Arabidopsis thaliana: one gene and its partners. The protein of the gene in region 4 purifies or fractionates together with the protein of the main gene of each other region. This does not show direct contact. Each region holds a gene or a part of one and is shown on either strand. Other genes may lie near its edges. The genes, in order: PHB5, HAP6, PHB4 and ATPQ.

Region 1 (6,170 bases), on a different chromosome or scaffold from region 4:
CAATGTTCAAATGAAGATATAAGAAACTTTCTCCATACAACGATAAAATGAAAATAAAAACCTTGAAAAATTCAAAACTTTGGTCGCTCATGGTGAACTTGACCTTAAAATTAAAAACCAAAGACTTTACAAAGAAATGTAGAAGACACTGCTCGAATTTGTAGAATATTAATTAAATTGTCACTAATGGCCGTATGTTTTCAAAAAAGGTTAACGACACTAATTTGCAATATTTGAATCGGTCGATAAGGCCCATAAGATAATATAGATGGGCCCAAGTTTCTTTCGAGGTGACACTTGTGACTTGTGATCCGATGAATAGCTTGTTTTTTTTTCTTTCTAAGATAACCTAATTTGCATTTTGTTTGTTGATATCTAATCGAAAGCTGCTGGATAATCAGCTCCCATTTTCCCTAGTGAGGAAGTATGTGCCATAGCTACCAAGGGCACTGATCCAGGTTAGATCAACCTTTGAACTTGGACTACTTAATTATCTCTAGGTCTATGCATAAGTTTGATTGGCACAGTGATTGTTTAATTTGATGTCAATGTCGACTTAACAGTAGATGTGTCATGTGTCATGTGTGCGAGTCTCAGACTCGCAAGAACAGTCTCAACTGGAGTATACTAGGGTGATCCAATACTAGGAAACTATATAAAAAAATGAAAATCTTAAAACACACAAATCAATATAACCATTGAACACCATATTTTTGCAACTAATTCAAGCAACAACTTTGCTTGGACCGTTCATTGCAAACAACATATTCCCACCACTTGGCAAATAGACGACATTGGGAGAATTAGAGAGCGTAATCGCAACCTCTCTAGCCGCCTCGACCCTTCTGAGCTTGATCAACCCCATCCCAGCCCCTGCAGTCGCTTTCGATATAACCCGAGCCGCCTCGCTCTCTCCTTCTGCTCTAATCACAGCCGCTCGTCTCTCCTGATCAGCCTTTGCCACTACGAACTTGGACCGCTCAGCTTCTTGCTGTGCCACCTGCTTCCGCTCCACCGCAAGTGAGAACTCTTTACCGTATGAGAGACCAGTGATCGACACGTCATCGAGAACAATGTTGAACTCCTTAGCTCGCTTGATCAACGTTTCGCGTATAAGAGCTGAGACCTGTGGACGTTCTGTTAAGAGCTCGTCAGCGTTGAACTGAGCCACCACCGCTTTAACCACCTCGTCCCGATCGCTGGTAGGACCTTTTCACCATAGTCGAGACCTAAGTTTTGGTATATATACGAGAGGCGCGAAACCTAACACGAACCCACGGAAAACAGTTATATATTATTTTACATATATATCACAAAATCTTATTAGTGAAATTTTTTGGATATTCGCGGGAACTTACATCAGGGCGAAACATAACACGAAGTGTGAGGTTGACCATCTGAAGATCCTTAGTTCCAGAGTCGGTATTGATTTTGTAGGGTTTGGTCCGAATGTCGAAGATATACGGCTTTTGCACCCACGGAATCTTACGATGTGTCCCTTCTCCTACTGGTTCTTCTAGAATCCCTTCGAATCGGTGGAACATAACAGCTCTCTGGCCACCATCAACGGTGAACATTGTTGATCTCACAGCCGCTATGGCAGCTCCTAGACCTAGAGCTACCTTTGTGAACTTTGACCAAGGCATGATTGGCTTTGAATGTCTCCTGTATGGATTTTAGGTTTCTTTTTATGTTGTTTAGGGTTTCTTTTCTTGTCAGATAGGTGAGAAGTAGTTAGAGAACGCAGGAGATGAGGTTTTATAGGAAGTTTTTTTTTTTGCGTGAGGCAGAAGTTAAGGAGAAAGCTTATTATATTGGGCGGGTTCTTATTTAGCGGGTCGGTTTTCTCACGTTCTGTTACTCACTCGGTCAACCATACCTGCCACGTGTTACTTGTATGCATTACTATTGGTGGGCTTTTAGACGGGTCTTTTAATTTTCCGGTCCGTTACTTTTTAATAAGTTTTACCAGTTCCCGCGATGCACTCGCTACCTATCTCTATCTTGCGAGTTAAACCCTCACCCAAAAATCTTCGACAAAACTCGAATCTTGATCTAAATCCGAGAACGAACATTATAGGATTGTGTAGATTTATTTAGTTTTATTTTGTGAATTTGCAGGTATAAGGTTGTTGATATGAACCTTATTCGAATGTTTGGGGATTCCATTTCTAGATCCAAAGATGTAATGCGATTTGTGTGCCAAAGAACATTTGCTACAGCTGCTGGTAAAGCGAAGAAGGTTGGGAGGGGAGATGGAGGTAATGATGCACCAAAAGCATCGAACTTGAGCAAAGAGATCAAATCGAGTATGGTTGTTAGTGCTAATACTCTGAAAGATGGATTGGACCCTAAGATCTTGCCTAATTCAGATCACCCTGATTATTTATGGCATCTGCTTGATAAGCGACCGGCGCTTAGCGAACTTAGAAGGAAGAACGTTGAGACTCTTAGTTTTGATGATCTTAAACGTTTTGTGAAGCTGGATACCAGAGCTAGAATCAAGGAGAACCATTCTATCAAGGCCAAGAACTGAAATGAGATTCAACAATGACTTGTTGTATGTGTCCCTTATAATTCCCCTTGTTTGAGCAATCCCTTCATTTTCCTTATTATCTTTGGGATTATTTGATCTTAAAAGATTTTTCTCTAATTCCATGCTCTTCTCAGTAAATTGGTTAAATTTGTGTATTTTATGCTATTCATTGGCCAAATGGTATATCATTCAGCTTTCCACAACAGACTGCCTAACACCATGTCTCAGCTTGGATGGTATGTTTAGTCCCCAATTCTCTTCCTATCCTCTTCAACACATGAAAAGTTCACAATCCAATGATCGAAGATATGAATCTCTGTGTTTCGTAATTTCTTACACTTCCCCAGCTAACTTTTGATTCTTCCAAGTAAAAGAATATATGGCTTACCAGTTGCTGGTTTCAGGGGACTTGGTGTTGGCCGTAAACAAAGAGAGTTATAAAGCCAAATATAACTCACCAAGAATGGCACACTTCATAAAGAAAACGTTTCTCATCAATATCAAGAATCAAGATGTGAGCAACCAAGTGTAGCAGAGAGACAAGACATATGTGTATGGAAGAAACTCTTAAGAGAAGAACTTCTGAACAATACAGAGTTGAATTAAAAGTGCATTTTGCACATACTGCTTACCCAAAAGCAAATCTATTATTCCAAAACATACATCATTTAGAGGAATTCTAAAAGGTGAGAATAATAATGGTATATATATTATATATAGTACATGAAAAGGAAGATCAAACAATGATCTAGAGAAGAAAGAAGAAACTATCTAATTTTCTTGTCTACTCTGATTTTGTTAGCTTTCCTTTCACTAAACAATTCTATCCAGAGATTCCAAATCCAAAGTATACTAACAGTAATAGCAATTCCAACAACAATTGCCCAAGAAATCCACAACCAATTAGGTATCACACCATGAGCACCACCTCGAGCGTAAAACGCTACCATTTTCCCGAAAAACAAAGGTCCCAACACACCCCTAACGATACTGTAGAAGGCGTAAAACGGAGGAGACAAGAGATCGTACACTTTCACAGCTAATCGTGATTCCGGATCATTCTTCCTTGCTCCGGCGAGCGTCCACGCGTTCTGACACGCGCTTGTTACTTCAGCTAGAATCAGGAGGCCTAAGATGGCGCAAGCCCCGTGGAAGACGAGGAATCTGCAGGTTAGGAAGACGAATAGAGTGGCTACGTGATGGCCGATGAAGAGTACGTCGTTAGGGTTGAAGACGATGTAGTGGAAGAGATCGGTGAGGAAGTAAGCGACGCTGAAATCGAGGACGGTGTTTTGTGCGGCGGTGTTTGCGGAGGCGAAGGAGCGTTCGGAGGAGGAGAAAACTGCGCGTGTGGCGAGGAAAACCGCTGGAGATCCATGGAAGATTGAGATCAGGCAGCTTGAAGCTTCGGGACGGATTTGTGGTTTCCAATTGCGGAAGACGATGAAGTAAGCGATTAGGTAGATGGTTAAGAACATGGAGAAGAAGATAGGAAGGTCTGGAATTGAGATTTCTCCGATATTGATCGACATTGAGATCGGAATCTCAACCCAAGAGACAATGGAAGAAGAAGAAGAAGAAGAATAATCTACACAGAAGAAACTTAATCCCTTTTTATCGTCTGTCGTCTCGTTGAGTTTTAGCTTAAACGATAGACTGATAGACACATGTATCAAAATATCTATTTAATCATATATTATATTGACCAAAACAACTTTATAATATCATCTCTTTTTATGATGAAGAAGGACACTGAGGTGTGATGGTAAAAATCAAAGTGAAATGGTACAAATACTTTCCCAAGTAGATCAATCACCAGAAGTTGTAGTAAAGCTAAAGACATAAACCACATTTATAGGTAAATGGTCTATGGCTAATAAGTAGTAAGAAGTAAGAAGTAAACTATATTTTTCAAGCCAATTCCGAAACGACAAACACCAAATGCTGAAATGGCGTTTCTTCATTTTATTTACCATCATTTGCTGCCTCTGCAAGCTTGGCGGAAAATCGAAGCTTGTTGATATTCAATTTTAGTTCCTCAACACATAGTGCTTTCCATTCATTGCTCAACTCTCTTCTTTTACCAGTTCCAAGGTTCATCAGCTTCTCAAGCTGCAACTTCTTTTGATAATCACTTAATCCTTGCGACATCATGGTGGTCTCAAACGCATCCCGCACAGCACACAACACATCATCATCATCATCATCACTCTCTTTTCCAGCAGTCCCGTTCTTCTTCGTAGTTATTTTGTCAACAACAACAACAGCTTCATGAGGTGACTTGCCACTTTTCGCAGCCCCTTTGTCAATTAAGGCCACTTCCTCATCCTCCTCAAACACCTCCTCCTGTGATTCAACAAACCATATAATTGAACAATATCCAAATCATTCTTAAACCACAATTCATTAAGCAAGTTTTATTGTAACAGATTTGACGATTGTGTATCAAAAACAAATGACAAACTCTTATTAGTCACTTACTCCACTCTCGCTTTGATGTGCTTTATCCATAACACCATTAGTGTATTCAGCATCAATTTTACGCCAAATCATCATGGAATATCCAAAAGCTTCAGTTTCACTAGACCTAGTAAAATGTGGATCATTTCCTTGATCGATTTTCTCCATTTGATCAAGGAACTTCTTCTTCAACTTCCTGGTCTTACTCATAAGCTGGCACTTGGAAACTTTCACATGAATGGAACCTTTGACGTAACAATAAAACGCATCCCAATCAATTTTGGATTCGAGTCCTGTTTTAGCTCGAAAATCCACCAATCCCTGAGAATTATAGATATGCCGTTTCAGGAATCGCAACGCAATCAAGTAAATGCAGTAGATAGATGAGACAAAGTAGGAAATACCTTTAAGATAGAGAGCTCGTCTTCTTCGTTCCAGATCCGGTTGCTCGGAGGAGAAGCCATTTTTGTGTTGTGCTTCGTCTTCTTCTTTTTCTTCTTCTTCGTTTCTTCTTCTGTTGCTGTTTCGGAAGCAGTACGTTTTGAAGTACGCTTCTGTGGAGGGTTATCGTCAGAGTCGTCACCACCACCACCAGGTGAAGAGAAACCTAGCTCCGTCGGAGTCGCCATTGTCAATTTGCTTACTTTTATACTTCACAATTCTAGCCTGATTGGCTGGCATGCAGAGAAAAGCCTTAATCAGGATATCAATTACACTAAATCGACTAGCGATAACAACTTTTCATGAAATTCAAACTTACGCCAGAAAAAAAAAACAGACTCTTGAGAGAACAAAAATGTGGTTTCCAAGTTTCAGAGCGACTTCTTGAGTGAAGAAGAAGAGATTCCGAGTTTTCTTTTTATTTTTTCAGCGGTGTAAAAAATCCATTTCCATACAAAACGACGTCGTATTTGACATAAGGCTCTTTTTAAGTTATAAATTCTTTACTGATACAATATACTCAATTCGACAAGAAGCACGAAGATAACCCGTACCAACATCACACAACACAACGCAAAGGGAAAAAGACGATGACCCACTTCTCACGACCATTCCAAGCAAAACTTAACTCATGAATGACTACGTTCCCACTCTCAGTACCAATAAAATCCAATCCTCAGTCTGAACGGCCCTCTCTACTTGAAGCTCACAGTATATGTTTTTTTTTGGGATG
Region 2 (10,657 bases), on a different chromosome or scaffold from region 4:
CGATGATGAATTAGTGCGAAAGCTATCAACAATCTTTTTAGATAGACTCGATGAAAGAAATGCTGGAGTCTTTGTACTAGAGCCCCTCACGGATGTGATCCGCAAGCTTGGTTTCAGAAACTCTTGGTGCTCATATTTCGACCTGAAACAAAGATTTGAGATGAATATTTCACCAAACTATTAATGAAGGTATATACACTATCTTATCGGGTTTTTGTAACCTACCTAATGAACCTCATACGCTGGTCATGACTAGCATCAGGTCCAGGCTTAGAGCTACCTTCAGGAATAAACGCCTCGTAAATTGAATTTGCAGAGGCATTTCCTCCAATTTCAATCATCGAATCGACTTCTTCATCTGACCATTCATCCAATGTCACGGATAAGACCTGGAAAGTTGAAAACTATAAATACACTTGCAAAAGATTCTGTAAGAAGAAGTGGAGCGAGATAACAAATCCACAATATTATTTGTAAGCCATCTTAATGGAATCCAATGGCAAATTTTCACCAAAGATAAACCAAAACTAGAAAGAGAAGCAAAGAGTCACAACCTTTGAGATATGACTGCCAAGGCTTCTGTGGACACCACAACATTTTAAGCATATAAACACTCCAATATTAGCTGACCTGTAATAAGCAACCAAGAGTTTTATGGGTTTACGAAAAACGAAACAAACCAAAAAATGCACAAGTAGGGAAACAAGATCATAACATTCAATCAAACTGCTTAGAGAAGCATAAAATGCTTACTGGAACAAAACATAAAAATGGCAAAACTTACGCCCACTTAGGATCTGGAGCGCCACAATCAGCGCAGACTCGGTTATCAGATTGAGTTAAAAGATCCCTTATTCTCCTTTTACCTGTGAACCAACAAGGTGGATAAATCAGTCACAGCCTATATATCTCTCATACAAAGACTAATCTTTGCTAAGATAAATGGTTTACCTGAGCCAGGCTTTCCGAGTCCGGCTCCAGAATAACTCATTGCTCTTCTAAAGAACTAGCAATCATCAAACAGAGAATCCTTCACAGACCAAAGAAATCACCCATCACGCACAATATGGTTAGAACATGGTATTGTTAAATGAGAGATCAAACTCTGCTTTGCAAATTTAAAAACCAAACTTTTTTGGGGAAACCACGACCGCAGAATAACCATGAACAAATCGTTTTCAATACCCATTTGTAGATCATCAGCATCATCGATTCGTGTTCCCAAAATCGAAATTCAAATTTAGAAGAGAAAAAAAGGCCAAAAATCTGATCTTTGTTAATTCCTGAAACCATTTCAACGACGAAAACATAACCGACAGGAAAAGACTTACAAAGAAATATTCAAACTCGATGAAACATAAAACCGATGAAGAAGAGATCAGAAAGGAACAAGTAATATGTACGGAAATTCCATCAAGGAGATTTATAGATTGGATTGGACGTTCTTACCAAGGTGAGGAGAGAGAGAGAGAGAGATATGTTCTTGGGACACAAATTCAAGATGAACAAATAATTGTCTGAAAAGACAACTACGTGCTTTTTCTTCTAAAATTTAATTTTCCAATCAACTGTAAAGTTTTGTGAAGTTGTAACGATGCAAGAAAAAAAAAAAAAAAAAAAAGTTGTAACGTTGCCATTGCCATGTTAAGGGTCAAATACCAAATACATTTCCTTCGTTGACTCGTTTCTACCCAAAGTAATTTCTACATTTTTATCAGCATTTATTTCTATTTTGACTAGAATGAAATTCGGTTTGATTTTATATATAAAATTTCATTTCGATTTTATGGCCAGCCTATTTCAAAATTTTGTTAGACCTTTTAACTTTCCACAAACACTCATAAAGTGTGAATAATTAAGAAACTCATGTGATCTAATCATGAGCTAATCATTATCTTAGTTGATTTGGTTCAACAAAAAAGCTAAGGAAAGAGACTCTTGATTACTTTTTAAGACTAAACTGAGAGAGTATGTAAACTCTGAACTTCTTTTGAATTTGTCTATCACCATAATCTATAAGCAATACTACAAAACTGAAAATACGCATAAACCAAAAAAAGATCCTTCATAGTGAGTTCTTCTTCTTCAAGCAGATTTCAACTTGTTTGATGCTGATGCAAGTTGAGATAGTGTTCTGTGTCCCACGAACAACAGAAACACTCCCAACAAAGAAAGTGCCTTGAGAGTCGTGAATAGATCCAACTGTAGAATGCAAACAAACAAAACAAAGAAATTGTGATTTGATGCAATGATTCAACTGTAGAATGCAAACAAACAAAACAAAGAAATTGTGATTTGATGCAATGATTCAACTGTAGATCAAACAAACAATAATCGGTTATGAAAACTTGCCTTCAACCAGAATAGCACATATAGAAGCAAAACAGCTCCAATTCCGCAGTGGAAAAGTAAAGCGGATATTGCAGATCCAGTCGACGATGGGAAGCTCTTTATGTTCACTCCCAACCGCGTAAGCTGAAACATAAAAAATATATATGAGTAGTGAAAGAAATGTGATGATGTTTTTCGGATACTATTTACAAGCAAAGGGAGACTGACCCCAATCAGGAAACCGATGAATGGGAGAACGATAACACCCAAGAAAACTAGTGAGAGCTGCTTTGCTGGAAGCTTTTCAGGAATCCTGAATATGTGTGATATTTCAGCTTTTGGCCCATATCTTGAGTAAGGCTCAGTAGACTGTAGAGGAGGACGAGTCGCCTTCTCTGGACGCTCTGGTAGGTCTAGTTCAATGTGACCAATATTACTCAGTAAAGAGTTCTCCTGGGAAAAGAGAAAGGAAAATAACACTGTTCAAATCTCAGAAGACATAAATCATCAACTGCATTGGACCTGAAAGTAAAGTACTTACCATAGAAGCATCTCCAATGGTTAGCTGTATCTCATATTTACCAGAGAGGTAGTAGAGCTTCTCAACCAATCCAAGAAAATCCTGAAGGTAAGAAAATAACATTAACCATTAATATTGTATTTAGGACGTCATTAATTTCACCAAACTTGATCATTAAACTTTTTTTGCAAAAGCAATTTTAAATGAAGTTGAAGGAACTTAACTAGAACTAATTCAGACTTCTTTCCAGAAGTTTTCACGAGAAAGATATGCTCGACCTGTGACTCATGTTTCAGCTTGAAAAATGCCTGCATGGAAGTAAGCAAGTCAAGAAAGTGAATAGAACAGAATATAACCATTGATGAAGCGAAAAATCAAGAATGAACAAACCTGGTGTGGCTTAAACGCATTGCCAAGTGGAGTAGTTAACTGGAATGACAGGCGTAGCTTTTGAAGGTGGTTTGCTGATAATGATACCGCTCCATCTTTAGTTAAATCTAGCCTACAAATGTTACAGAGAGAACCAATAAACAAAAAGAAGACACTAAGCACAACAACAAAAAGTTTGAAATATATATTGTAAGCAATAATGGTACAAGTTTCCTAAGAAAAATGGTTAAGCAATTAGCAATCAATCAAAATAAGCAAAAAAGGAAGTTGTTCATCAACAATACAGGTGACATACTTTTTCTGAGATTCAACGCTTCCAATGTCACTGTCAAGTACAGCAATTTCTGCATTTTCAATGCTAATAGCTCCTGTGGCAGCTATAGGCACTTTTGTTTGAGCTTCAGTTATGTATACTTTCTCATGTGCTGATTCATCCAGCACAATCTGCAGAAAACGAAGCTTATCATGTTGTCATCATACATTTATATGAAGTCTTGGGTGTAGTAAAACCAAAGAAGTGCAATACCTTAAATACAAAAGTATATTTTCCAATGTCAAAGTTCTTGGGAAAGGAGTCCAGGAAGTACGTTGCACTGTCAGCGTCAAACTTAAGCTCCTGTACCCCAAAAATGTAATGGAAAAATGTAAACCGGCCTAATGCAGAGAATAAGGAACATTTCTATTGCAAGCTCAAACAGTAAGAGATACATTATTTACCTGGTTATTAATTACAGATGAATCCACTGACTTAGAACTTAGAGCTTGTGTAAGCTTCACACTAAGAGCTGGTGCCTTCGAACCCAGTACAGTGCTAACTTTAACCTAGTTCCAGATAAAGAGAAAAAAAATCTAAAATAAGAAAAAATGTAATGGATGAAGGGTCAACTAAAATGAGTCATTATCAAATAGATAAGAGATCTCTACAAAAAAGATGCAATGCTATGAGCCTGAGCAATCTCTAAACCAAATACCAGCTAGAATCCAACATCCAACCGTTATAGCCAGAAAGTCCAAAGTTAAGACTTTCACTACTAGAAGTCAAATCTTGATGCAAGCTTATGAATGGGTACCTTCAGAGGCTCTTTCTTTGTCAATGAAATGACAGTGGATGGAAGAGACAAGATGAGTGGAACAGAAAACCTGAAATGATAGAGAATGACCATAGAGCAAATTATTGTTCCCATAGAATGATAAAGTTTCAGCTAGACCATAATAAATGAGCAAGTGGTTGAAATTTCACAAGTGTTCAAAGTTTTAAACTTCTACTCTTTCCCTACAGATATCATTTCTTCGGTAATCATTTTGTTCAAAATTCTAACAATGTAAAGAGAAACAGTTTTTCTCTTTCATAAGCAACTTTACTTTAACACAAAAGAATGGAAGTAACAGTAAGTCCTTGTAACTCTTATGTCTTTCACACCACTCAATTCAAGGTTACTGAAATGATTCTAAGATGTGTACTGAAATAAACTAATAAGAAAATGCACAAAGAAAATGCACAAAGGGGCATGAAAGTAGTATTACTTGTTGTCTTCCAAACAAGCTAGTGCATCTATTTGGTTGAAGAAGTCCTTGGCATCACCAGGAATTCCAACACCCAGAAAGAATTTGGCCAGACCAACTATCTTATCACCTGGAAGCTGCATGAGATAATGGGAATGCGAAGGTCAACTATCAACACATTTGTCAGAATAGGATACATGAAAACATGGGTATTACATACGTTCAATCCTGTGGATTCTGAAGCTGCAAATGACGTGAGCCCTCTAATAACTGATGCAGTTGTTGAGATCGGGCCTTGACTTGCATCAACAGACTTCTCATCAAAATAAAATGTCCCATCATCTAAAAGACCAAAAATAATAATTCAAAGCCCACATATGCAAAACCCAAGCTGGCAAAAACTATGAAGTGAGTGAAGAGAATATAACATGCAATACATAGGATAGCAAGTAATTTACTGCATACCATATTTTTGGATACTGTCAGAAAGCTTCAGGATACCCGTCTTCACCGACTGGATCTAACAGAGGACAAACATGAATGACGATCATTACATAACCAAGATTAATAAACTACCAGATAAAATGAAAAAGAAACCACCAGAATAACCAAATGAGAAGTCAGGTGGACATGCATAATTATCAAAACACGAATCTTTCTTTGTGATTATCAAATCACAATTCCCTGTAGCTAAGATTTGGAATTTATAATTATCAAAACAAAACTCTTTATTTTAGTTACTTAGAGATTCCAGAAGCAAAAGTAGATCATCACTAAACCAACATATCGTAGTGATATCTCATCAAAATATATTCTCAGGAAATCAGAAGTATAGTGGATTAAACATCTCACTTACCAAAGATGGATCAAACTCTGAAGGTGCTAATGAAATCACTCCAGCAAGCGTTTCATAGGCTAAGCCTGAGAAAAAAAATCGCATGTTGAGAAGAATGAGTGAAATAACAAAGAGCAAAAGAAGTGAACAAGCTGAAGCAAGAAAGGAAGGGATACATAATCTAAAAGGCTCATCATTAACGTTAGGTAAGGGTTAATCCAATATGTACTACTAACCAGCAGCAAAAGTGCTTGATTCGGGATTGTTGGAGCTGTAGCGCCATCTTCCATCACTCTGGCTAAGAGACTGATACAAATGCACTATATCAGCCAAATAATACCCGGAAAACAATCTAAGTAGTATTAATATAGTAACTGAGTTTTGGTAACATATCGAAAATATATATATACTTCTACCAGAGTCTATAATTGATAGTCCAAAAAGACAGTGTATGAATGTCACATCTGATAGTTCAACAACAACAAAATTGAAGGTCAGCTAAACAAGTTCAAACCTTGATGGAACGGAAAATGGCTTCGGCATCTCCAAGACTTATATGAGTTCCAGGAAATTGCTCCTGCATTCATGGAACAGTGAGGTCAAACTTGAAGCCAGGAAAAAGAAAAGTCAGGAAGCCAAAGCTATGGAGTTGAATAAAATAAAATAATCACGATCACAGGTACCTTCTGCCAAAACATTTTCATACTTCAACATAATGCACGAAAAACTAAGAAAACTCTCCTAGAAATACTCTATGGAAAAAGGGTGTAGTCAATCTCACTCAAGATGTCCACCAAAAGTTTTAACTCGTATTTACCTTAGCCAGCACCAAGCCTCTGACAGAATAATAGAAATCAAGCAATAGCTTCGCATCTTTAACACCAGCTTGAAGTTGAGAAACAATGTCCTTCAAAAGAGGAAAAGATAAGGTTATTTTAGCCGCTTAATAGTTAAAATTATGATACTGAGAGGAGACAATTGTTTACCTTAGGACCAGCTTCACCAATTTTACATTTTAGAATCCCATTAACGTTTAACGCATAAAATGCATCCTTAAGAGTAGAAGAAGACGACTGAAGAACTTTAACCACATTCTCACAAGTCTTTGAGCTAAGATCAGACTTTTTATCAATTCCAAGAATCTCCAAAGTCTTTAATGCTTCATATGCCTCCTCCAAGCTGATAGTAATAAAAATCAGATTAGTCCGTACAAAAACCATTCATGAACATTAACGAGCAACCAATATGTAATCGGTGAAATGTGGTTAAAACCCCTACATCAAAGCAATGCCGACTTAAGATAGAGAAACCAACCTTTTGTATGATCCATCGACTGGTACGAAGACATCCAGAGCCGCAGATCGGTGAGAGTCTGAGATCGGCTGGAAAACAGAAGCAGCACCGCAAATTGCTACGGCGAGTATCAAAACCAGAAACCGTACGTTACCTCCGGCCATCATCACTGCATAAGAAAACTCAAAAAAACAGATAAACTCATCCAAATCAATACAATTACACATCTACGACGGATGGATTCCAAAATCAACCGAAGATTTAAGCTTCTTACAGATCGGAAGTAGATCCGTATAGTCGAAGAAGCGGATCAGAGGTCGACGAGTCTCAGTAGTCAACGGAGACTGAGGTTTGAGGTAAGCCTAGGATCGATCTATAGCTTTTGAACCAGACGACGAACCAGAGAGAAGGCTAAAAAATGAGTGTGAGTTTGATGACACTACCTGATATTACCGATTTACCCTCGATTTGAACTTAAATTACACTTCATGAAACGACGGCGTACCTTGAAACCCTAAACCTTGCAGATCAACTTCAATCACCATTTTCATTTCAAACAGAGAGAGCTCTGAGGAAATCAGAATCTGAAAATGATCAGATTCGCGAGACCAAAACCTATAATTGACTCAGTGAGTTACAATCTTCTCCAGAAATGTTACGCTAGTGGAACCCCCAAAGGAAAATCGAAGCTGAAGACAGGCCAATCATTGAAACGCAACAAACTCACAATCAAAAAAGGCGGTGGAAACGGCGGTGGCAGAGGTGGTGATGAGGTGGATAAGGGAAAAGGAAGAATCTCAGATCAATGCATAAACGCTCCTTGTCCTGTTCGTTACCTGAGACCTAAGGAAAGAGAGCGAGAAGCGAGACGAGAGAAGCTAGGGCTAATCAGTAAAGCGAGGCAAAAAGAGATTGATTTTCAGAAGAAAGGTGGATCCTTTACGATGGGAGTTACTACTGCGCCGATGAGGATTGGGACTCCAGGATTGGATTACATTTCGTTAGGGATTTTTACGGAAGATGAGTTACCAAAGTATAAGGTTACAGTGGAGGATGGGATTAGACTTGCGAAAGAGTATAGTAGAGTGCTTATGAGAGAGCATAGAGCGAGACGTGTAGCGGAGATTAGTTTGATGAAGATGAGGAACGCTGCGGTTGAGGCATTGCCGGAGAATTTGAAGAAGGCGGCTTTAGTGCGTGATTTGACTCCGTTTCCGGTGAGTCGAGGTACGGCTACGCTTACTCCACCTATTGAAGGGTATTTGGAGAGGATTATGAATGCTGCGGCTAGGAAGAGCTCTGGTAAAGAGAAGTTGAGATGATCTTGTTAAGGTTAGAGGAATTTGTCTTTGCGTCATTGGTTTTCTCTTGTTTTATTAGTTGTGTTGATTGGATTTCGATCAATGGATATAACTTTGAGACATTTGTCTTTATTTTTGTGATCTACTTGAAATAAAATGGTCACTGGCAGTTGCTACTATATGATAGAATATTAGTTGAAGCTTGAAAGTTTAATCTTTTTCTACTTTATATTGTTTCATATCGGCCTTCTGAGAGGTGAAGTTGTCTAGGATGTAAATGGAATCTTGTTAAACCTCTTTTGTATCTCTTTCCTTGATCGTGTTTGCCTGTTTGCATACTTCTTTCAAATCTTCATTTTTCAGTATTATGTGTATGAACACTGTACACTCATACATTTAGGATTTGTCTCTTCATATATTCTAACCTTTAGGAAGGCCACTGGGTCATGATCAGCTCAAACTTGGTATAACTTTTTATCCTTACCAAAACCATATTCCTAGATAAGAACTGCAGACTATCTTGGAATCTACAGTTCTGCACCAAGATTACAACTGTTTAATCAATATGGGAGTTGAGGTTTGTCCTCTGTGAGCTTTGTGTTGGAAGTTCAGCAGAATGTTATGTAGGAAAGGATGTCCTGCATCTGCTTGTGCTTCTTCATTCAAATGCATAGTTTCTGGGTATTTTCTTCAAGCTCTCCATATCATTTTCTGCATCTTGTTACCCGGTCCAGTAGAGTGCAATGGCAAGAGTCCTAAAGCTACAAAGACCACGATTCTCCAAGGATCATCATAGTTTGAAAGCTGAGGTAGCTAGTCTAGAGAGAATCGTAGTCATTAGACTTCATCTAGGGACCTCTTGGCTTCTATGTTTCCTTAGTTCACTAGCTATTTTTGTAGACCTATTGAGTCCAAATCTCTGGTAAAATAATCAAGTTTGTGTATCTGAGTTCTTAAACCACAAATTTTTATCAATTCTAGTATTCTTTAGGATCTTTTGAATACCACTAAAACAAAGTTCCTCTATGCGTAAAGATCAGATTGTATATGTTGTTTGATCAATAAAACAAGACTTTTAAGCATAAAGCAGGAATGGGACTTTCCGATTTTGTTTAATTAGAGCCTCTATATGTTCTCTTTCTTCCCTTCCATGTCAAAAATATAGCTGTAGTACCTCTACATAACTGAAGTTCTAAAATAAGTTGCAATCTAAATTGAGATCCCTTCATGAAAGCCTTAAGGGATGTATTGCAACACCGTTCTGCGCAGATTTTAAGCAACCCCATCTTCCGAGCCGCGGTTCCTGCCATATACCCAAAGTTACAGTTAAGATTGGCATTCACAGAGACGAATATATATGTCTGGTTAAAGGAAAATGTGTACCTGTCCAACACCAGCGATCAGAAACCGACCAGATTTTGCAAAAGCTAAAGAGTTCACAAACCCAGGCTGCAAAAAGGTCATAAGCATTGGATGTCAGTAACAGATGCAACACACAAATAGCAATAAGAGCCGACCTAGGAAAACAAACTTACAAGTGGAAGCTCGTATAAAGGTTGTATAGCACTAGATCCACTTTCAACACCCCATAAACGCACACAACCATTACCAGCTCCCGATGCAGCAAGCTCGCTACCTCTACAGACAGCAACTGAACTGACCCAAGAACATGCTGGTGTACAGTTATGGTTAACAGAATCATGATCAGCTATCACGTGGTGAGCATTGTTAACGATAAACACTGGTTTCTTTTTCAAAATGGACCAAAGTGCAATACTTCCATTATCTGATCCGGACAAAAACTCATCACTATTAACAAAACAGCAGCACTCAAAATTTGATTCGGAAGCTCGATAGATCAACCGAGTAGACTCGGGAACCTGATAGGAAACAAAAATCGTGCTTAGATATAGACAAACAAATCAAACAGACCACAATACCTACCTTATATAACTGCATTGTTCTATCGCGTCCAACACTGAGAACACGCTCCCTCCCTAGAGCATCAATGGATAGAAGTTCAGACTGGTGTCCAAAACATGATTCTATATATGTTCTATGTTCTGCATTCCATATACTTAATGTTCCATCATATGAACCAGAAAAGAGTTCTGCAGTTCCTTCTCTAAAGCATAGACTAGAAACAATGCCACAGTGACCTGTAAAAGCCTGCAATAGATACATATCTAATAAAAGAGGCTGAGAGCAAGACACAATGAACAGAATCCTTAACTTGATTATTTTTAAGCTTGTTTACCTGGACATGCTCTCGTGTTCGGATATCCCACAAATGAACATGGCAATCAACTCCTCCAGTCGCTAAATACCGGCCATCAGAGCTAACAGCTAATGCTAGAGATTGTTTGTTATGTCTTGTATACCAAGATTCCTGGAACTTTAACCCGTGAGACTTCAAAACTTCATCGCTTGGCCATTTGTACTCATCACTTTTACCAGAAGATACATCCCAATGCAGAATAGTAC
Region 3 (6,917 bases), 9.3 Mb from region 4:
CCACATCTTACTAAGGTTAGTTTGATCGAATGATGGAACCAATCTTGTTATATGATTCTGTGTTGTTTGTTCATGTGTGTCTGTTTTTTTGCAGCTGAGTGTATCTGGTTGTCTTAGACTAAGCACAGCAGGACTAGTGTCAACTTTAAGGGACTTAAAATCTTCAAACCGTCTTGGAGTCAAAAGCCTAATCACTGGTGGGGCGTTGTATTTCACAAAGGAGCAGTTTAAAGAGCTCAACTTATTGCTAGGAGGAGATGCTAAAGTGGGTTTACAAGAGAGGAAGAAGAGATTCTATACGTCTTGTAGATCAGAATTCTATTTAGAGGATGATCGAGTTACTGACCTCGAGATATGCCCCTGGTGTGAGAAACCAAGTCTGGTATTTGATTGTCCAGCAGATACATGTCCATTGAAGGGTCAATATCCTTATTCTAAGTCATCTTGCAGAGCTTGCGTTGTCTGCATAGAACGTTGCCATGAGTGTGGGAGTTGCTTAAATGACTGTGAAAACAAGCCGTTCTGTTTTGCATTCAGCTGTGTGGTATGCATTGAGAAGAGGTCTAACCGCTTATAATAGTTTATTTGAAGTCAAAACCGAAGCTTAACACATTACTTTGATCCTCAATACACTGTTTTCTGAAGAATGAAGAGTCTTGGTGCTTGAGGTATCAAACCTAAGTCAATAAGAAGAGCTGCAACAAAAAATGGAAACATGATAAGACTCAGAAGGGTGTTTAGTCTTCATCTACAGCATCATGAAAGATCTGAGCTAAACTTGATTCTGCAACGGACTCGAGTCAAACTTGATCATGAGAGATGAAGAGAAGCAAAGACTAGAGCTTTACTTGAAAGTTGAAGCACCAGGATTCAAATGGGAAATAAGTAGAACTTACAAGAAAAGAGAAGAGAATAAAGAATATATCAGAGTTATTTTACATTATCATTAATTAGTCTTTTAATCTCCTCCATATGTAGCTTTTGTTAAATGACTTGTATAATTTTCAAAATGGATCAATCTCTTATCAATCCACTCCTGCTTGTACATTCCCTGGAAACATGAGCCCATGATCACAAACTTTCATTGCAAGATCTCCCAACCATCCTCACTAGTCACTTCATCCAAACCTAGTTTACTTAATAATACCTCTCATATTCCAATACTTATTCGCAGTTTGTACATCCAGTGTATAATGCATAATATCATGTAGGTAATTATTACGTTTAAATAACATATTTTTAATAAAGAAACATATCAAAGTTATATGAAAAAAGAGAATTATGATATAAATTAATAATGAATGTTTCTTTTCATTAAACAATTTCATAGGCATTTTTTACGGATTATCTCTCATTTCTTCTTCTATTTTTAGAAATAATAATTCCTGATATATAGCAATATGACACTTAGATTTATTATTCATAAAACACTCTATTAACAAAGAAAAATAAAAACTTATAAAAGGAAAAACAAAATGTCTAAAAGTTTGATTTATAATGATAGATGCTTAATGCAACAAAAAAAAAAGGTGTTATTTGCGGTTAAACTTTTGGTTTATAAATTACAAGATATACAAATATTGAAAAAATGGAACTTCTTATACTCATTTAAAAAAAAAATTAAGGAAATTTGTCAAAATTGTAATTTAGCTGTAAAATAAATCACTACAAGGAGATAAAATCGTAAATAATATTAAATCTTCTACCAAATATATTTTCATTGAAAAAAAACAAAAATATGCATATATAATCAATACGATATAAATACTTGTAATTGATCGAATTATTGTATTAGGAAAAGCAATGAATTGGGAATTGTGTGATGATTATCCAAGCAAAGCACCGCCAGAGACGTGTAATAAGGTAGACGGTGCTAGGAGGTGCCGAACGAGTTGTAACAACGAAGGTTATGGTGGAGCAAATTGTAATTTGAAGGGAAAAGTTAAAGTTTGTGAATGCACTATACTTAGAGTTTGTCTACCCCACCACAAGAGGCCACCGCATGTACCGAAGCCACCAAAGTGACCACATAAAAAAGTTTTATTTAATTTATTTACCATGTTTTAATTTATATTTTAAATAATACAAGTACAACAACCTTGGTGTTGGAAATTGTTTTTGACAATACAAATTTCGACTATTGTTATGGTAGATTTTTTGGTGAAGCCTTTCATTGGAATGATCGGGTTTCGACAACAATGGCATAGTCTTTACTTCTAGAGTCAGAAAAGATAGAACGGCTCAAAACAATTATCTTTTTTCACATCGTGTTCATCAGAAATAAAAGAGCATCAACGTTAATAAACTTCACAGCTCCGTCGTTTTGTCTCCACTGAAGCTCCTCTTCCCACCTGCAAATACAACAAGGCCAAACAAGTAAACCACACCATTCCACAAACCTAAACCATACTCTACTATCAAACCAAACAGTTTATACCAAACCATAACCACTCTTAGTTCAACCAAACCGAATAACCTTAATGCCTTTAAATGGGAATCTTAAGTCCAAATCCATTTTTCATTCATTATTCAAAGAAGTAAAAGAGCATACCAATGTTATAGCTCAACGACCAGGGTTCAGATTAAAGAGCATGCTTTGTCCACCAGGTAAGTAAGCCACGTTCGGAGACCTAGCCAGAGTAGCCGCAACCTCCCTTGAAGCTTCAATCCTCCTAAGCTCAATTAGTCCCATTCCTGCTTTAGCTGTTGCATCTGATATCAACTGAGCAGCTTCACTCTCACCTTCTGCTCTTATAACCGCAGCTCTCCTCTCTTGATCAGCCTTCATCACCACAAACTTTGACCTTTCAGCTTCCTGCTGAGCCACTTGCTTCGCCTCCACTGCCCTCGAGAACTCAGCACCGTACGATAAGTGAGTAATGGCTATGTCGTCGAGCTCAATGTTAAATTCCCTGGCACGCTTGATAAGAGCATCACGAACAAGTGCTGATACTTGAGGACGCTCAGTGAGGAGCTGATCAGCATTGAAATTAGCAACCACAGCTTTCAAGACCTCATTTCCAATCGATGGAAGAACCTTCTCATCGTATTCAAGACCCAATGTTTGGAAAATGTACGGGAGACGCGAAACCTTCACAGTAAAATAACCACAACAACTTATTCAATCCCTCAAACAATCGAAGCCAGCATAGATATGCACCAAAAGCTTCTATAATAAGAGTAACATTCATCGAAGAAACCAAATTACACATAAGGATTATCTTCAACTCTAGATCTTGTACACAAACTTCAAATTCCACGAAATCAAACACAGAATCGATAAATGATTGCTAAATCGAACGAACACGATCATCCTAAACCCTCGATCTTGTAAACAACCAATGTATACAAAATCAAACACAGAATCGAGAAATTGATTGTTGCTAAAATCGAAATTACCTCAGGGCGAAAGAGAACACGAAGGGTGAGATTAACCATCTGAAGATCCTTAGTACCAGATTTGGAGGAGAAAGTGTGAGGTTTCGTACGAATATCGTATATGTGCGGCGTCTGGAGATACGGGATCAAGAAATGAGTCCCTTCGCCGACGGTCTGATCCAACACTCCCCTGAATCGATCGAACAAAACAGCTCTCTCGCCACCATCAACAGTGTAGAGCGACGAGTTTAGTGCCGTCGCCGCCACACCTAACCCAAACGCCGCCTTCGCCAAGTTCGTCAGAAACGAAATCGCTACTTGTTGACTTCCCATTTTCTTTTCTGACCTCACAAGAAAAAAGCTTCGAAGGAGAGAATTGAGAAAGGAAAGATTTAGGGGTTTGTTAGGGTTTATGAAATGATTTTGGAACTTGGAAGAGAGGGTTTTTTTTGGCCGACAATTATTGAATATGGGCTTGTTTAAAGCCCATTAATAATATAAACTACTTCGGCCCAATAATAAAAAAGGAAAAGGAAATGATGTAATATAAAAGGAAACAACGGTTTGGAAGATTAAACCCGAATTTGATTATTTGCCCATAAACGAAACTAAATCCGGAGAGGAAGACAGAGACGAAGAGCGTGTTGATAACAACCCTGCAGAGATTTTGGATCTTCTTAGAGAGCAAGATGAAAATGTTCTTCCTCCACCTCCTCCTTCACCTTGATTAGAGATTTTGATTAGAGTGAATAAGCACAAAAGACTAAAATTGATTTTTCTATACAACCAGTGGAAAATGTTATATACAAGAAATTCTATATAAAGACAATGAGACCTCTGACTTTGGACAGCAAAAGTAGATAAAAAGAAACATCTAAGGCTGCTTCCACAAATTGAACTAAATCGTCGATCTCTTCATCGTGTGTTTTCTTCTTCTTTGCTGCGTGTGGACTCAGATAGATCTTGCACATAGCATAATTGCCCTACTCAAACAAAACAACAGAAGTCGTCACAATAAAAACCAAAACTCAAGAGTCTCAATAACTTGGAAACCAAGTAAGTAAACGTACATATATACTCTTACCAGCTCGTAGTTATTAATATCATCAGAAGACTTAAGCCAGTGTTCATGCATCAACCAACCCTCTTTTACGCCATTTTGGTTGTTTTCCAATGTAGTACTCTAGTGAGTATTTGTAGCCGACAAGGCCTGCTTCTCCAGCATGAATCTTCTTGGCAGAGATGATACTACCCTCCAGTATCCTCCATTGTCTCTACGATTCATTCTTTTTCCACATTTCCCCATCTTGGTCCTCCCAGATATAAAGAACCATTCCGTCTTGTTACCCTTCACAAACTCCTCCGTTTCGAATCAAAAGAAAGACGCCGTTTTACATACAGAAAACACCAGAAGAGGATTAACGATATCGCCTTATATCTTTATTACTTGGATTTCAATTCTGGCTTGGACTAAGCTAAAAACAGAGACTGCTCCCACAATTCTTTGGAAATTAGTAGGAGTTGCTCATGCTACAGCTTACCATGTTTGGAAACAAATGAACAACTTGTTGCACAATAGTGTCTCCGTTTCGCCTTTGGCCACCTTCAAAGAAATCGACGGAGACATCAAAAAACACTATTACCGCTCGCATAAACAGAAAAGCTTTTCGGAATCTGATGATCTTGTAACTCCGATAAATTTTGTTGATGGACTCATTTTATATCTTTTTGGCAAGATTACATTTGTTTGGTTAAGCTATTTTTAAAACCTCAACTTTCATTAATATGATAATCACATTCCTATACTCGTAATACCCTCCCTTAAGATGAAATCTGAATTAAAATCTAAAACTTTGATGAATCGATGAAGATCAGTGGAATATATCAGTTTCTGTCAGATTGAGATCGAGAGAAAAACAAGTGGGAGCTATTTAAAATGACACTTCATTCTTTAATCACCACTCTTTGTTTACTCCTTCGGGTTTTGATGATATTGTAATTTGTAAATATGGGCGAGGTCAGCCTGGCGAGACCTACACCAAGTTAAATTCATCTTTTTAGGAGAAAAAATCCCTCCCAACATGCTTTGAACTCAACACCTCCATCTGGGAGATTTACTATTGGACCAACAGATTGTTGATGTCAAACTCATCCTTCAAGCTACATTTTGTGAGATTTCGAAAGAGTCTAACTCTAGACTTCATGGAGGAACCTCTAACATGTGAAATCTAACAGACCATTCCCCTCCAATTGGTTTGGATTCGTTCAATTATCCATCTCTTAACTAGAATCTTAAAGCATGTTTATCTTGTGGTTGTTTAAATTTTAATCTATCTTACTTCCTCTCTTATTTTGCTCAAGAAAAAATAAATGAAAAAAAGTGTTAATTAAAAAGTTGGTCTGAAATTTGTATAAACTTCTAGAGGGAATGAATTCAAGTCCTAATTTTCAACCACTAGTCTCGTGGACACTAGTCACTCGTACTTTTGTGGAATTTATTATTGTCCGAGGCAATGATCTCGATTTTTGATATTGTACAAGTCACCCCAAGTTTAGTCATCCCAAGTTTTCTATGCTTTAGACTTAGTAATGGGTTGTGACAAACATTCTTATAATTAACTTTCGTCTCAACAACCTAAGACCGACTCACAATAATAATTAAAAGTATTCTATCTTCAATAAAAATAAACCTTACGATCTGTCAATTATTTTGAATATCCAATTTGTCTCGGATTTTCAAATTTATTTTGTAAAAACCGAATACCAAACTATATTAAACGAACACCCTTATAACCAATTTGTGTCTAAATTCAATGATAGTACTGATCATATAGCTCCAAGTCCAGAGATAATGGGATATGATTAATTCAGATTTATTATTTTACGCTAAAATTAGAGAACAAATCTCATTTTATTCTTGACAGAGTCAACCAAAGTTTTTTTGTTTTTTTACTATTAAACAACTCTAATAGCATATAAAAACTTTGATTGACTATATGTTAATTATTTTGAGACTTTATTTTGGAATCTAAGATATAATTTTTTTAAAAATTTGTCCCGGACAATTTTTATATATATGCAACCAAATCCATGAACATAATTTATTCGGAGATATTAATTTACGCTCAAATTAGATAACAAAATCTCGAATATGGAAACTGTAAATATATTTTTACCTAACCTTTTTGGTAAATTTGGAATATCTTTCCTGAAAAAACAGTACCCACAAATTCCAAATCCAAAGGATACTAACGGTAACGGCAGTAACAATAACAACGGTCCACGAAACCCAAACCCATCTGGGTATGACGTCATCAGCGCCTCCGCTGACGTAAAACCACGTCATCTTAACGATAAGCAACGGCGCTAGAACGCACCTGCAGACGCTATAGGACGCGTAAAACGGCACCGTAACGAACCGGTGCAAACTCACCGCTAGAGGCGCGTCTTTCCCACGCGCATCCGCGAGCGTCCACGTGTTCTGACACGCGCTCGTGGCCTCCGCGACGACTAGCAGCGCGAGCAGAGCGCAGGCGCCG
Region 4 (7,481 bases):
CTGTGTAGGTCAGTGTCTCTTTTACAGTTAAGTGAGGAAACAGAACATCATCTTGAGTCACAAATCCGATCCTGCCATGTTGCTTTCCCGTGTCAACTGTAAACTTATATATACATCTACATATTCATCAACAGACCAAGGTGGAATCTTCTTATTACCTGGTTTTTAAGTGCTTAGAATATGGCTTATCATTATAGCTAACCGACCCACCAATGTTCTGCTGATTAAATCTGCCACCAAGCGCATTAAGTAGTGTAGTTTTGCCACTTCCAGAAGGTCCCATGAGAGCTAGAAGCTCCCCTGGATATGCTGAACCACTAATCCCATTCAAGATGCTCTTTTCTGATGAAGATGTCATTCCTTTGGTTGTCACCTTGTATGTGATATCTATGAACTGCACAACACATGATAAGAATTGATTTGGTCAGAAAGAATTGCAAGTAAAAGTTCCTATATGCTTGAATTTTCATGAAAACCAGTCTTTTTCCATAGAAATATGACTAGAATTTCTCTCTGATTTATACAAGGCGATACTAATATAACCATACCCTTTTGGTCCAGCGTGAAGCTCTGCTTCACATGTTGCCGATAACAAGTAAATGGTAGTTGAGCCTCCTAAGCTTGACTTTTGGGCACCAAAGTTAGACCAACAAAGAAGGCAAAACAGAGGTTTCCAAATGTCTTAATGCAATGATGAAGATTATTCTACTTGTAAAATTTATGGATGTTTCTTCACTATGGGAGAAATAGCGATTTCTTGTTTAGGAAACATCATATGAGATACAACAGACCCATTGAAGTTTGGACTGACCAATGGCAGCAAAATTTTATATATTTCTACGGACTTTTTGGTGTTGATGGTTTAATTACATATCTCCATCAGACAGTGCCTGCGCTCAAATAGATATAAAGATCATTTTCCCATGTTTCCCATAAGATTATCTATCAGCGGAAATGGGTTACCTTCAGATATATCGGAAAGGTTGGTTCTGCCTGAAACTTGACCACGCTACTGGTTGCTGCTTCAATATCTTCCACTGCAATATGAATGATACCAGAAGAAGAACCCAATAAAGTCCAAAGTTAACATCAAGGCTTCAATCATGTGCGGTATCTAATGGTTTTCTTACAAATATCGTCATTGCTACAGCGCTCTGAAGCAATTATCTCTTCGTGTGGCACGGTGAATCCAGTGAAAGAGAAGGATAGTCCAAGAGAAGCACTAGAGGCTCGGCTAAGAGCAGCACCACCAGTGAGACCAGCAAGGTCAAGAGCAGGATGAGCACTCTTGGCCTTCCTTATGTGAGTGTTCCATCTGTTTTTGCTGTTGCTACTGTAGCTCGGCGATGATAATGTCCTAGCCCTCACATGCTGCTTGCTCCCGTGGCTGCTGCCATCACCGTTGCTGAAATCAAGTGAACTGGACTTAAGAGCTTCTGCGAGTGTCTCAGATTTGGCCTTGACCAAGCCTGATGATGATGATGAGGTTCCCATTTCCATATTGTTTCTGTACGTTTCAGAATCAATGGTCAAAAGAATTGTTTTTTGTTGAACCATTAATTGAGTGAACTAGACTCATTAAAAGGGTTAAAAGTTACCTTGTGTTGAGGTTTTGAGAAGCTCCTTGTTGTGTTGTTTTGTTTGGAGCTTGGACACACACATCACCTATTTATAGAGTAGGGTTAGACGAATATACTGTAATATACCCTCCAAAATTGGATTGATTGACATGCTAAACCCTTTGACCTTGGACACGTGATAGACATGATAGCATGATCTACGAGGCTAATATCTGGCTCATGCATTTTACAGATACAGGTTTTAACTTTAAAAGAGGAAATTGGTCTTATCTCCCTATCTTATTTGATACAATAATTAGCAAAAGGCCAAAACCTGACTTTCGGTACAAAGAAGAGGGTAGGAGGAGAGCACGTGGATCTTGATTCTTTTAGACCAATAAAGATTTGTCTTTCTACTTGTTATTAAGCATTCTGCTCTAAGCACATAGCTAACCAGTATTTGTTTCGTGTAATTAGACAAGCAGTAACATGCACTGGACCTTACAGAGAGACTTAACGGCAAAAATCAAAAATAGCAATCGATTATATTAACCCTCTATGAACGGTCAGAATCAAAGACCTCACCCACCTTTGATAACCATTAACCGCATACCATTTCGTGAACTATCTATGGTTGCGCAAGGCTCCATCAAGTAATAAGCTCACCACTTGAGTGTAATTGCAGAAATTAGCATTGTGTCTTGAAGAACGAAATCTGGGATATGTGTTTCTGGGTCGACAAAAATTCTAAAACCCGGTTCGAGGTAAACCGAAGGCTTAACAACAAACCGACAGACTTATCAACCAAATTTGCTTACCAGAGTTGGTTTGGGTTCGTCTTTATTTACCATTGCACCGAATTGCTAACTCAAAAAAATCAACTAAAAACATGACATTAATACTATCCTGTTAGCTAAGAGAGGAAATGTAACAATGACGAGTCAAGAGTCTTCTTCATTCCTTGACAATGATAATTTTTTTGACTCTTATTATTCACTGAAGAACGAAACGAAACAATTTGTGAAATTGATAACTAAAACCAAATGCGTTTATCTTCCTTGGAATGAAGATCTCAACACTGCTTAAGTGAATGGTGTACTTATTATTGTTATGATTGGCTCACAAAATCACAGTAAGAGAACAGAGAAAGAGAAAGAGAGTTTTCTTTCCAAGCCGGAGATGGAGAAACATGATCAGTATCCCCAGTTGTCATTACGGATTTCGTCATCAAACTTCTTTTTGAGTTCCGGGTGCTTCTCAAAGTACTCATCTGCAGTCATGGTGCTGAGCTTTTTCTGATTACACCAACACATAGAAACAACCATGATCATTTTATCAGAATCTTGAGTTGAAAAAAAATACACACAAACTTCATAGAAGAGGATTTGTTTTTTCTGGCTACTTACGCTGATCTCTTGGACATCAGCAATTTCTTTCTCCAACCGTTCAGACTCCTTGAGCGATTTCTGTTCTGCTTCTTTCAGTTCCACCAACTAGATATAGCATGAAACATGGCACAAGAGAACAAAAACGATGTCAATTGAAAAGACCTGTCAAAATTGTAAAAAAGTCTCGAGTGTCTCAGCTATTACTCACCAAAGCATCAAACTTTGGCTTGTATTCAGGAGTAACTTTGTCAACGTACTTTGGAATCTCAATGCCTGCAGCAAGCCATAAAAGATGCAGTTTAGTTTCTCATAATCTTCTTTGATATATCTCCACAATTCCAACAATCAAATAGATATATAACAAGTATAAGAACTTCAGTTTCAGCCCCCATTCTTAAGCACATCTCTCTCAAAACAATATAGTCAGGTTTGAGAGCCGAAGTAAGGCAAGCAAAAGACATCCGCTTGATAACCACTGACAAACTCATTGTGATAATGAGTTGCAAGGCTACACAAACGCTCCCAAGTATCAGTATAAATTGCAGAGAAAATAAAACTTACTGTCATAAGCTTCCTTGTACTTGTCAACAATGCCAGCTCCAATACCCTTCCTATAGTAATCCCAATCTATAGGTTCAGGTTCCTGGATTAAAAGGATAACCAAAAACAACAATCACTCCACAACCCAATACATAAAACAAGTTAGGAAATAAAAGATCTCTTAGGAATTGGAAATGTAGTGGGCTAATCATAGTATACATCAATGTTTTTCTCGATACAATTCCACATTTCTAATGATCAATAAACAAAGACCAACCACAATGTTCTCTGATTAACACGTCTTAAGGAAATAGATCTTAACACATATCTGGATCAATCAACAATGGGAACAACAACATCAACAAAATAGAAAAAAATGAGTGTCACCAACAAAAATCTGATAATCGTAAAAATTCGTGAAAGAAGCACCTGATCCAGAAATCGAAATTATAAAGATCTAAAAAGTCTAAACCAAGCAGTAGTGACAAAATCAGATCAAGAGAGGGGGGAAATCGAGAGGAGAACCTGACTAAATTTGGTCTGGAGCTGTGTGTTAACCTCATCGAAAGCACGACGAAGGTTAGAGAACTCTCTACGAGCCTCATCTGTGACAAGGACCTTAGCCATACCATCCCAATCGATAGTCCTTGAAGCTTTGAAAGCCACATCCGCGATTTTCTTACCGGCTCCGCTCATTTTCTCGCTCTTTGCTCACAAAGTTTTCCCCAAAATACACACACTGACGAATATCGAAGAGGAAGAAGAAGAAGATGTAAAACGTCGTCTGATCTGACCAATGAAGGAAAGCCCTAGAATCCCTAAAAGGCTTACAGGCCCTTTTACTTCTCTTTATTTCTAATTTAACCCCTTTATTATTTAATTGACCTAAAAAACACCCCCATTAAGTTTCAATACTGGTTCTATGTTTTAGATTACTTTGGCGTTAGCAAATATGTTAAAGAAGGAACTCAGATAGCATGTGGAAAATTATATATGTCTCTTCATCAATACAAATATGTTCAACCAATTAAAAAAGTCAAACAAATAATTAAGTTTGTTGTAGTAAAAAAAAATACCAAAAAAACAAACAAAGACATAACAGAATCTTCTCTGAATTCACCTCTGCACCAGACTTTTGCCTAATCAACAATGTCAGATATAAACTATATATATATATCCATTCTCTGTTTAAGCAAGATTAGTATCTTTCTTAGTAACATTGCTTTCCAGCTTTGGTGGACCTGAAAACCGTCTTACAGTCTTAGGAGATCCCGAGAAGGAAAGCCGTTTTTTCGCTGTCTTCTCTGAGCTTAGAGGACTAAGGTTTGAGAATCGAGCTCTTGCTTTGGCGGCTTGTGTAGGTGCCATGTAGCCTGGAACTGACTGAGAGAAACTACTGGTGAAGCTTTCATCGTCTCTAGTTGATGGAATTGATCCACAAGTGCTATGCCTACGATTGCAAGGTTGTTCTGATTGGAAACTCACAATGCTGTTTGAGTCTTCACTTGGGACTTGCCTCACTCTCGGGCTTGACCCTCTTCGACTGTTTGGTGTCTTTCCTCTTGGTGAAAGGTTTTTGCCTCGTGGAATCATCTCAGACATGGCACGGCTTGCTACACTCCTAGCAGAAGAGTCTTTTTCAGCATTATCTGGTGTGAGTGAGTGGTTTTCGTTTGGTCGAGCAGCCATCCAACGTTCTAGCCAACTCCAACCCCAATGCGGATTGTTAGGGTCCATGAATGTTTGAGAACCCATTTTAGTTGAGTTTTTCCATGTATTCTGCATATTAACAAGTTTCACCATTTTGAGATATATAATTCTTCTGGTGTAAAGACACACTAAAGTAAGATAGGAAACTAGTTTAATACCTGGTGACTGAATGCATATGCAAGCGCTTTTTCTCTTCTCATTGTTGCTACTTGCTTGTTCAACATGTTTGCTTCAACTTTCTCCCGCGACAATGTACTATCATTCCAATTTTCTCCAGTCTATTTCACAAAACGTAATACAATCTTTAAGTTTGTAGCAAGAAACATAATCTATTTCACATTGTGAATTTCTCATGTATCCGAGATCAACAAAAAGCCAAGTTTGTAACTAAAATTATAAACATCTTTGTAAGGATTTGATTTGCTTACCTTATCAAAGTCTTTATTGTGTTTTTGTTGGAGCTGTCGTGTTAAAGCCTGTTTATCCTCAGACAATCGGAGCCTTCTCTCACGAATCTGATATTGTACTCTAGCTAGTGTTTGCATGCTTTGCAATGTAGATGTGGCTTGACGTCTCACACATTTCCCCTGGACTAAAGATTTTAGCCTCACAAGACCTCTCAACGCACGCAATGCTCTTCTTGCCTAATAAAGGGTAACCAAAAAGTATGAACTTTGTTCCATTAGTTAGCAAAACCACCTTTATAGTTACTAGACTTGAAAATGTTAAAAAACAAAAACGTTACCATATATCCTCTAAATGCTGTCTGAATCTTGATAGCGGCGATCTCTTCCATTGATTTCCCGGGGAACCGTGATAATGCAGAGAGACGAACAACTTCAGCAGCAGCTTGAGCAGCTGCAACGGCTGCCTCTGCAGCTGCAGCAGTTGCAATAGCCACAGAGTAAGCATGTCTGCTCTGTTGCTCCTCAATCTCCTTTAGTTTCGCGTCTTTGACAGTACGAGGAGAATATGCTGCACCAGAATTAGTAACATCTAGCTTCTTGGATTTACCAAACCATTTCTTGGACTTATGTGGCTTCTAATGGAGTCAAAAACAATACCATTTTCAGTATCAGCTTTTCAATTACATCAAAGACATATAGAAGCATTTCTCTTTATGGATATAGATAACCAAAAAATGTGAATAATCTAGCATAAAGACCTGCTCTTTCTTTTGTTTTGGTTCTGGGCTTAATGCTTTCTTCACAGCTGAAAACCAACTCTTACCCATTTCTTAGTTTCTTCTTCTCAAATGATCTGCAAATGCAAAACCACAGAGGTAAATTCATGACCCAAGGATGATATAAATTGTTACAATTAATCATAAGATCCATCAAGACTTAATCTTTTATCCAAAATCTATAACATTAGGGGGAAACATTGATACAGGAATACAAAATCAGAGCTTTAAATGGAATGCATAAAACTCACAGATTAGGAATCAAGCTCGGATCTTCTTGAACAGAGAGAGAGCAACCAAAGTTTTTTTTGAAGGACAAAAAAACTCGGAGAAAAAACCAAAACCTTTGCAGAATCTGAGAGAAGAATAAATTCAGTTTCAGAAATGAATTAAAGACAAGGAAACACATAAGGACACTTGTGTAACTGACTAGTATACAATACACGCGTACTTACACTACGGAAGTGACAATTATTGAAACCCGGAAGAGAAATCCATAGAATAAAAAAAGAAAATTATAAGATCGACCAAAACTAAAGTCTTTGTTAGGATTCAGACAAGAAAGATAAATGTGTAAGAATTATTAAGGGATCTCTCTCTCTCTCTCTCTGGTACAACAAAATCTGGTTAGAGAGAAAGAAGGAAGAAACAGATCTTGAAGAAGAAGGGGTCCAAGGGAATGAAACAGTGCCCGTGACAAAAGGTTATATAAAAAGTATAAAATAGACCTTTTCTTCATAGTTGGCCTTATTATTATATTCACCTAAATTTTTATTAGTTTTTAAAACTTTTGTTGTTCGGTTGCTTTCAACTTCAAGTGTCCATTGTGTAACGAACTGGTATTTGTTTTGAGTGATTGGTTGGTAGGTTTATTTAAGTGTAAATTAAATTTGGTAATACAACGAACATGAATTTTTATATTTTTTGGTTCTGTTATATACTTCTTCTTCTTTGGTTTATATTAGTCAAGTTTGAGATATTGACGACGGCATGGCAATTGAAGAAGAAGAAGTGGAATGCACGTTTTGTCGGTGGTTGGACTATAAAACTACCTTATCCATTTATATGAGTGTGTATAGTGTATACATAATCAAGTACATG

The links.
Region 1: the proteins of ATPQ (region 4) and PHB5 fractionate together in Arabidopsis thaliana (co-fractionation; one large-scale study listed by BioGRID). This does not show direct contact.
Region 2: the proteins of ATPQ (region 4) and HAP6 fractionate together in Arabidopsis thaliana (co-fractionation; one large-scale study listed by BioGRID). This does not show direct contact.
Region 3: the proteins of ATPQ (region 4) and PHB4 fractionate together in Arabidopsis thaliana (co-fractionation; one large-scale study listed by BioGRID). This does not show direct contact.

The regions. Positions count from the first base shown.
Region 1 is NC_003076.8:4,608,578-4,614,747, reverse strand, and holds PHB5 (prohibitin 5), read right to left. Parts: upstream 1,647-6,170; coding exon 1,359-1,646; intron 1,187-1,358; coding exon 725-1,186; downstream 1-724. Other genes in the region: AT5G14290 (Mitochondrial ribosomal protein L37), read left to right, coding at 2,138-2,536; AT5G14285 (DNA-binding storekeeper), read right to left, coding at 3,304-4,068; AT5G14280 (DNA-binding storekeeper-like protein), read right to left, coding at 4,502-4,882, 5,018-5,317, 5,401-5,625.
Region 2 is NC_003075.7:11,275,028-11,285,684, reverse strand, and holds HAP6 (ribophorin II (RPN2) family protein), read right to left. Parts: upstream 7,257-10,657; 5' UTR 7,147-7,256; intron 7,055-7,146; exon of another isoform or gene 7,042-7,054; 5' UTR 7,040-7,041; coding exon 6,894-7,039; intron 6,759-6,893; coding exon 6,566-6,758; intron 6,487-6,565; coding exon 6,397-6,486; intron 6,157-6,396; coding exon 6,094-6,156; intron 5,886-6,093; coding exon 5,816-5,885; intron 5,666-5,815; coding exon 5,601-5,665; intron 5,265-5,600; coding exon 5,210-5,264; intron 5,087-5,209; coding exon 4,965-5,086; intron 4,882-4,964; coding exon 4,766-4,881; intron 4,382-4,765; coding exon 4,312-4,381; intron 4,064-4,311; coding exon 3,959-4,063; intron 3,858-3,958; coding exon 3,768-3,857; intron 3,686-3,767; coding exon 3,537-3,685; intron 3,354-3,536; coding exon 3,242-3,353; intron 3,160-3,241; coding exon 3,076-3,159; intron 2,954-3,075; coding exon 2,873-2,953; intron 2,785-2,872; coding exon 2,560-2,784; intron 2,476-2,559; coding exon 2,353-2,475; and 4 more. Other genes in the region: ZAC (Calcium-dependent ARF-type GTPase activating protein family), read right to left, coding at 1-142, 226-389, 555-630, 785-866, 952-991; AT4G21140 (copper ion-binding protein), read left to right, coding at 7,463-8,194; EMB2271 (Transducin/WD40 repeat-like superfamily protein), read right to left, coding at 9,399-9,476, 9,557-9,622, 9,709-10,053, 10,118-10,342, 10,431-10,657.
Region 3 is NC_003074.8:10,073,698-10,080,614, reverse strand, and holds PHB4 (prohibitin 4), read right to left. Parts: upstream 3,807-6,917; 5' UTR 3,712-3,806; coding exon 3,400-3,711; intron 3,092-3,399; coding exon 2,564-3,091; 3' UTR 2,552-2,563; exon of another isoform or gene 2,352-2,551; 3' UTR 2,007-2,351; downstream 1-2,006. Other genes in the region: AT3G27290 (RNI-like superfamily protein), read left to right, coding at 1-15, 95-577; AT3G27270 (TRAM, LAG1 and CLN8 (TLC) lipid-sensing domain containing protein), read right to left, coding at 4,909-4,981, 6,555-6,917. UniProt on the Arabidopsis thaliana protein: Prohibitin probably acts as a holdase/unfoldase for the stabilization of newly synthesized mitochondrial proteins.
Region 4 is NC_003074.8:19,393,391-19,400,871, reverse strand, and holds ATPQ (ATP synthase D chain), read right to left. Parts: upstream 4,449-7,481; 5' UTR 4,184-4,448; coding exon 4,013-4,183; intron 3,591-4,012; coding exon 3,509-3,590; intron 3,221-3,508; coding exon 3,156-3,220; coding exon of another isoform or gene 3,152-3,155; intron 3,053-3,151; coding exon 2,966-3,052; intron 2,855-2,965; coding exon 2,753-2,854; 3' UTR 2,428-2,752; downstream 1-2,427. Other genes in the region: IQD3 (IQ-domain 3), read right to left, coding at 4,676-5,266, 5,356-5,475, 5,626-5,841, 5,943-6,239, 6,363-6,431. UniProt on the Arabidopsis thaliana protein: Mitochondrial membrane ATP synthase (F(1)F(0) ATP synthase or Complex V) produces ATP from ADP in the presence of a proton gradient across the membrane which is generated by electron transport complexes of the respiratory chain.